Linked DNA regions of Arabidopsis thaliana. The protein of the gene in region 2 interacts with the protein of the main gene of each other region in a pairwise test. Each region holds a gene or a part of one and is shown on either strand. Other genes may lie near its edges.

Evidence for each region.
Region 1: the proteins of ACBP5 (region 2) and ckl3 interact in a two-hybrid assay, tested with the Arabidopsis thaliana proteins (one large-scale study listed by BioGRID).

The regions. Positions count from the first base shown.
Region 1 is NC_003075.7:14,249,298-14,253,051, reverse strand, and holds the start of ckl3 (casein kinase I-like 3), read right to left. Parts: upstream 1,918-3,754; 5' UTR 1,702-1,917; coding exon 1,626-1,701; intron 1,530-1,625; coding exon 1,489-1,529; intron 1,287-1,488; coding exon 1,217-1,286; intron 1,128-1,216; coding exon 979-1,127; intron 876-978; coding exon 780-875; intron 703-779; coding exon 632-702; intron 522-631; coding exon 460-521; intron 385-459; coding exon 321-384; intron 195-320; coding exon 110-194; intron 31-109; coding exon 1-30. Other genes in the region: AT4G28870 (mutator transposase MUDRA protein), read right to left, coding at 2,332-2,631. UniProt on the Arabidopsis thaliana protein: Protein kinase involved in blue light responses (e.g. hypocotyl elongation and flowering) by phosphorylating CRY2 to reduce its stability.
Region 2 is NC_003076.8:9,773,770-9,777,523, reverse strand, and holds the start of ACBP5 (acyl-CoA binding protein 5), read right to left. Parts: upstream 1,671-3,754; 5' UTR 1,424-1,670; coding exon 1,262-1,423; intron 1,018-1,261; coding exon 947-1,017; intron 579-946; coding exon 515-578; intron 428-514; coding exon 356-427; intron 238-355; coding exon 46-237; intron 1-45. Other genes in the region: CYCH;1 (cyclin H;1), read right to left, coding at 2,845-3,120, 3,206-3,290, 3,429-3,487. UniProt on the Arabidopsis thaliana protein: Binds medium- and long-chain acyl-CoA esters with very high affinity. Can interact in vitro with oleoyl-CoA, barely with palmitoyl-CoA, but not with arachidonyl-CoA. May function as an intracellular carrier of acyl-CoA esters.

The DNA.
Region 1 (3,754 bases), on a different chromosome or scaffold from region 2:
AAACTCCACAGGGTGATTTTTGCATAGCACCTGCAATGGGATATCGATATATACTTAGTCGAATGAGGATTAACAAAAAAAGAATCAATCACACAATAGGGAAACATACCTCAATGGGAGTTGATATCTTCTTCTCACAGATTTTATCATACTTTTGCTTCTTGTCAACAGCCTTAAGACCCTGCCATGGAAGACTAGAAAAGGACGTTCATGAAATGAGGAACACAAAAAACAGTTAAGTAAATCTCTAAAAACAAGGAATAGAAATACCCTGCGAAATAACATAATGTTAACTAGTTTCTTTCAAAAAGACAACACACCTTCCTCTTAGGAAATACAGAAGCACATATCCCAGCGATTCTAGATCATCCCGTCGACTTTGCTCTGTGAAGAGAACCCAAAATATGAGCAAAAGCGATTTACTTTTACATAAGGATAAAGAATGCCAGCATTTCTTACCAATTCCAAGATGTGTATTGCAACTTGCATATCGTGCAGTTCCTGTTAAATTCTTGTTTTCCCTGAATATAGCCGAATAAAGGAAATAAGTTGTATAATGATTAACGTGACCGTAAAACTTAAAAACAGATAGATCATTTACAATCTGTATATTGAACCAAGGCCACAATACCTGTAAGGGATGTGGCGGTTGGTGTTGGCATCCCGATATCTTTTGGCAAGTCCAAAGTCAATTAGATAAACCTGAAAAATGAGACTTATCAATCATACCATACTCTACTTATGGCATCTGATGAAGATAAGAAGTTGCAGAAATATACCTGATTTGCTTTCCGACCTAGGCCCATGAGGAAGTTATCGGGTTTAATATCTCTATGCAGATATCCTTTCGAATGTACAAATTCTATTCTTGTTAGCTGTAACAGCGGGATAAGAAAATCGGAAGCACATTAGATAATCAATGTATAAGTCAACAGATATTATAAATAGCCTAATGAATAGTTGAAAGTCATGCCATACCATTTGATCAGCCAACATCAAGACTGTCTTTGGTGAGAATTTCCTCCCACAGTAGACGAAAAGATCTTCGAGACTTGGACCGAGCAAATCCATCACTAAAGCATTCTCTGTTCCATCAACTCCAAACCATTTTATGCGCGGAATTCCACCTGACACATAACATAAAAATTAGTATTGTACTGCTAATGAATCCCTCCAATGTCCAACAACTGAGAAAAGAGAGGAAAGAGAATCATACTTCCTCCTTCAAGAATTCTATATAGCTTAGCTTCATAGAGAAGTTGAGGATGCTTTGTTTTACTGTTCTCCTGCAAGAGAAAATGATTGAATTAAAAACAAGTGTTAGCTTGAAGAATATATTGCAGCTAAAAAGCACCGAGTTTAAAACCTTGCTCAATTTTAGAGTAAAGCAATTCAAACAAAATCAATTAAGAGACATAGCAGATCCAAATCAAATCTCCAGATTGGATGGATTCAATTCGTCTCAAGGCAAATTGAGCTGGGACTTACGATCTTAACAGCTACGATCTCGAAGGTATCGACGTGCGTAGCTGCGAAAACAACAAACAGAAGAGAAGAGCGTCAATTTCAAATAAAAAAGCAAACTCGGAAAACCAAAGGGACAAGAACAGAGGAGAACACAAAACCTAGAAAAATCTCTCCGAACGAACCACCGCCGATCTTCCGTCCGAGCTTGTACTTGCCGCCGATGATGCGTTCCATGGCAGCTCCAATCAGAACCGAATCTGGATCAAGCGCAAGGATAGAGATAAGGATTTAGGGTTGTTGTTTAGAAGATTGAAATTAGAGGAACTTAAAAACATATATTATTATTTTTGTTTGACTGACATCGGTGGTAGTGACATGGACCCAGGCTTGTTTGAGCCGTAGTAGTGATCCTTCAAAAAAAAATTTGTACACCTAACTACTGCACCATTTTGGGTCCGCCAATCTTTTTTTACCTTATAAACAAACACGAGGGTATTTACGTGATTTTGTAATGTCACGCTGGCACGGTGGATGATTTGATGATTTCCGTTTTTGGGGTCTGCAAAATGATGAAGGTTCGAAAATTTAATGGGTTGGCTGATTTTCGAGTCATAAACTATTTCGATTCTTAGTTTTCACTCCCGGATTTTTGGGCCCTTAAATTTCCACCATCAATTTTCATATTCCTCAAAATTACATCATCTACTTTCGAATTCATGATTAAACATACATTTTCAATTGAACCATTCATTTAACCGGGATTAACCACAAATCCGCGTTTACTGTACCGCGATTGTGATTAACCCGACTAATACCCAGACCCGTTAAGAAAACGACGTCGTTTTCATTCTTCTTCTTTAACTCTCAAATCGATTTGGTAGTCCTCTTCTTTTGACTTTCATCTCTGTCTCCATCGTCTTCTAGATTGACGTCTCCATCAGACGCTATGTCACCATCGTCTTCTCTATTTTCCTCTCCATCAGAAGCTCTGTCTCCATCTATCCCGACGTCCTCTCCCTCGATTCTGGTGGCTTCGTCCTCCTCGACTCCGCTATCACCACTATCACTTCCATCGTCGGCTTCAATGTCACTCTCTGGAGGTTCGAAATCGGGGTCATCTGGATCGCTTTGGTAAATCAATCTTTCCTCCCACCAATTCTTCATTTCTCCCTATTCGAAACCCAAATCGAGACCCAAAAATTCGAACCGAAGAAGAAAACCCCAAATCCCCTTTTGTCTTTCTCTCTCAAGAACCCTAATTTCACAGTGTCGAGATTAAAGAAGAACGACTAAATCGATTTGAGAGTTAAAGAAGAAGAATGAAAACGACGTCGTTTTCTTTCTCTTTTTGATGAGTTAAACGAAATGAAAACGACGTCGTTTTCTTAACGGGTCTGGGTATTAGTTGGGTTAATCGCAATCGCGGTACAGTAAACGCGGATTTGTGGTTAATCCCGGTTAAATGAATGGTTCAATTGGAAATGTATGTTTAAGCATGAATCCAAAAATAGATGATGTAATTTTGGGAATATGAAAGTTGATGGTGGAAATTTAAAGGCCCAAAAGTCCGGGTGTGAAAGCTGAGAATCGAAATAGTTTATGGCTCGAAAATCAGCCAACCCAAATTTAATCCACTAACTAGTTCTCTACCAAATCGATCAATTCTAGGTGTTTGTATTTCAATATTGAGACTACAATTTTATACGTTTTTTTTTTTTAATAATAGCAATTGAAAATGCATGTTTGGATCAAGTCAAGCTTTTTGATATAATTTTTTTCAATGCACAAAATCGAGTAAGAAAAATCAAACACAGAATACCATTAAACTGAATAGGAAATTCAGAGAAAAAAAAAGGGGGAAGTGTTTCTCGGAGCATTCCAGAAGCTAGCCATAGCTTATCCTTTTACGTTCTCGTCAGCTGCACATTAGCTTGATGGTGACATGTCCCTGCCACAAGCAACTCTTGACTCAAGCCTTTGAAGGCATCTCTGCTGAAGCTGCTCATGCTTTGCTCTTGATTTTCTGCAAACAATGTTGATGACACAGCAAACCCAGGTTATGCCCCAACACAGGGAACTACGTACAGAAATACGAACAAAGTTTTATAGAAGAAAACTTGGGAGAATGAATCACAAGAACCAAATTACACGCCCGGTTGCAAGATTTTATACAAAGGTTGAAGTCAGTCATTTGTGAGAATCTTGAAGGAAAGCAAACATAATCTTCATGCCTTTTGTCAAACAGTAAGCTGTTCATGGAAAAACTCCATTCAGATCTTCAACCTCA
Region 2 (3,754 bases):
ATCGTTTCCTTTCATGTTCCACAAGAGAGTCAAATTAAATATTACCTGATATCGGGCTTTTGGTGGCTGACCTGATGTTCGTGGTGCAGTCCACTGATTATACACAGAAACAGTATCTGGGTCTTCCAAAACTACATCTTTATCTTGCGTTTCTGTCAAGCGCCCATCCTCAGAAGTAATCGTCTTTGTCTCACCAAATGAAGCTCCACTCTCAAAACTAGGCTCAGCCTTTGTGCTCTGCAACAGGTAAAAAAGTAAGATACTTCTCGGATGAGGCATTGTTATATTAATTAGTAGCAATACTTACATACAAAAACTGAAATTTGATCATACGTATAGGCGATGAAAAACTCACATTGATTTGGACATGTACAGCAGGGTCAAGAACAGAGTTAGATGTCCTTGGATACCAACCAGGATCTGCTTCCTTTTGAAAAGTGAGCAATATAGGAAGAAATTAGCCTATGATTAACAAATGAAGAGAAATGAGAATAAACTCCTCTGTTGATATTACCTCCAAGATTTTCACAAATAGACGCATTGCCTCAATGGAGGGCATGGTTCCAAGCCCCTGCCAACTAGTAAACATGTACTTTTCTTAGGAAGCTTACACAGATGACTTTGCTCAGGGAAAGTCATCTTAGAGAATGCCATTATGAGGTCTGCGATCTCGATCTGTCTTTCCATAATGGCATTCTCTAAGATGACATTCCCTGACATGTTACCAGTAATTTTCTTGCATGCTAAAACCAAGGTAGCTCCTATTTCATGTATTCCCCTAGGATGGAAATACAAGTCTAAAATCTACGATACTTGTTGCTGTAGCCCTAATTCATGAGACATCTTGATACTTGTACTCAAAAAAGCTACTTACACATTTGATGATGATACTTAAAAGCCTCTCCAAATGTAGAATAGTATTGACAGACACAAAAGTGAAACCAACCTTTTCCATTTGCTTTGCTCTACTGGATTCCACGCACTCGGTTTTGGAATACTACAAGGTCCTAGAGTAGCCTGTTAACATGTCAAGGCAGAAGATTTCAAAATTAGTAAACATCTTTATCACAAAGATGATTGAATAAATTCTCTCTCAGTGACAAAATAAACCAGTTTTCGCATAGCAATGATCCCAAGTATAAGCACAGTTCCATTGTCTAATGTACGGAGCGAGATCGTACCAACATCTACTGTAGCAAATTGCGAAAGAAGAGAAATCAACAGATCCCTATGGAATTCAATTGAAATCGAATTGACGAACCTGCTGGTGCAACGTGTAGAGAAGCAAAGAGGTATCGTTGGAGAATTTGGAGCTGAGTTGTTTGACCGACGATTGAGATCCGTCGAGGCCGACGTACGATGCGGCGGCGTAGAATCTCTCCGGGTAAGAAAGGCCAGAGCTCGCTCTCACCATGTGAGCCATTTTGTTTCCGTTGATCGGAGATTTGAGGAGGAAGCCACAGTTTCAAGTTTTCGGATTAATACTAATTTGGTTTTAGTTAATTACGAAAACTTGATGCAGCGTTTATATAGCGCGGCACGACAAGTTGCTATTTGCATGCATCAACTTCCAAAATCCAGTTTCTAACGTTTTTGACTTTTTGGCACAAAAAGAATTTGTTATGTTTGACTGATAAATTATGTGGGTGATTAGTTACACAGTAGCCAGGTCCGTCTATGACCCATAAAAGCATAGGCATTTGCATAAGGTAAAATATTTTATGTATAATATTGGCAATAAGTGTATAAGCTCTAACTGTAGAATTTTGACGGTAACCTCTTGGTTTTGTAGATTTGAAAAATATAGGATTTTGGCAATAAATATTTTAGTTGTAACTAAAAATTATGATTAAGAAATATTTGAATTTTATATTTATAAATTACCTTTTTTCAAAATGAGAAAATTGTATATCATAATTACTAAAATTATTTAATAGCAATTATAAAATAAAAACACAAATTGAATTATGCACATCTAGGTAGATGGAATATATATAAATTATTTAATAACAATTTTATAATAAAAACACAAAAAGAATTCTGCACATCTAGGTAAATGGAATCTATATAAATTTATAAATTATTTGTCTAAATGTATAAAATACTTTATCTGTTATTCATATAACTACATTTTAGATTATTAGTTGAAAATAATCGTGACAAAAAGTTAGAGGAGAGAAAAAAAAAAAAAAATCTACAAAAAAAAAAAAATCTACAACACAAAATAGGATGTAGAAAATTAAAGATTTACAGTCAAAACAAAAAGATTTTTTTTGGGGCTCTAAGTTAAAGAAAAAAACTATAACATAATTGGCAACAATTTAGTCTTTAACAAATATATTATGGCTGTAAAAGACATTTAGCACAACCAATCAAGCATCTTTACAAGTTTCATTCACAATCCAAATTTTATTTTCGATGGTTTTTGGTTATTTAATACAAATTTTCATTGTTATTATTAGGATTTGATAGTTACCGCTACACTAGTCATATCCATTTGTTTCTGTGTAAGAACAGATGTGGTAGTAACTAGAAAGTATCAAAATGTCTGGAAAAACTTTTGATCATGTAAAAAGTTGATCATTATCGCAAACAAACCATTTTTGACGATTGTTATGTACACCAAAACTTAAAATAAATGGAAGTTTTGTTATAAATTCATTAACATCTTCAGAATAAACAAAACTTATGGCCAATATCATTGTTATACATAATCTGCTCAAATTTACTAGTAAGAACAACAACGGGGAAGAAACTATAAAAGACGAATTTCTCATTCAATAAGATTAAAACTAAACCAAAGTGCAAAGGAAGAATTGCTAATGGCAGTACGAGAAACTCAACCTATGGGTGGCGGTGCCCCGTTTGGTGTATCATTGGAGCTCCTATGGGACTTGTGTTTTGATCTCTTCTCCCGTTTCTTACTCCTGATGAAGATAAATAGAGAAGGGAGTCAATTGCAGAAGCAAAGCTTATGAAATATATATAGTGGTTAAAAGAATTAGTAGAAGAGAGGTTGTTAGTGTACTCGTCATGTGAAGAACTATGTCCTAGACAAGATTTTAGCTTCCGGTTGATATGCTTCATGTCCTTTTCACTTGGGCACTTGTAGTTCTTTACCTGAGATAAGAGAGAGCATCTAGTAAAACTTCCTTTTAGATATGCAAGTTTCATTGTTAAGATAATTATGGAAGTTAGTAAATACCAAATATTCGATGTTATCAAGTAACTTTGTAAGCTCTGAAGTCGTGTGCTCAGAGTTCGGTTGAGAAACAATGTTCTCTAGGTACCTGCACCAAATGCAGTTTAGTTGAAAATACAACCAGTAAAAAGCTTTGCATATACAGAAATTCAAGACCACGAGATTAATATCATGGAAAGATTAAAAGGGTAAATAATCGGGATGGATATAGAATAAGAGAAATAACCTATCAAAGTCAATCACTCCAAGAACCCCATTTGCAATACGTAACGACGCCAATGCCAACTACAAGGGCACACGTTCAAGAGTTGAGAGACAGTACAACAATTTGTGATACTTCTTTTGTTACATATACGCTAAAGAAAAACGAAAAATCCTGAAAGAAGGAACAAGGTGAGTATATATCGATAAGCTATACTACTATATCATAAACATTCATTAATTTCACTTAAATATCAGTCAAAGAGAAAACAAAGCACCAACTTTCATCCTAAATTTATGTCTTGAGTAGCATATTTAAAGCTTTACTGAAATATCCCAAACAATGAGTTT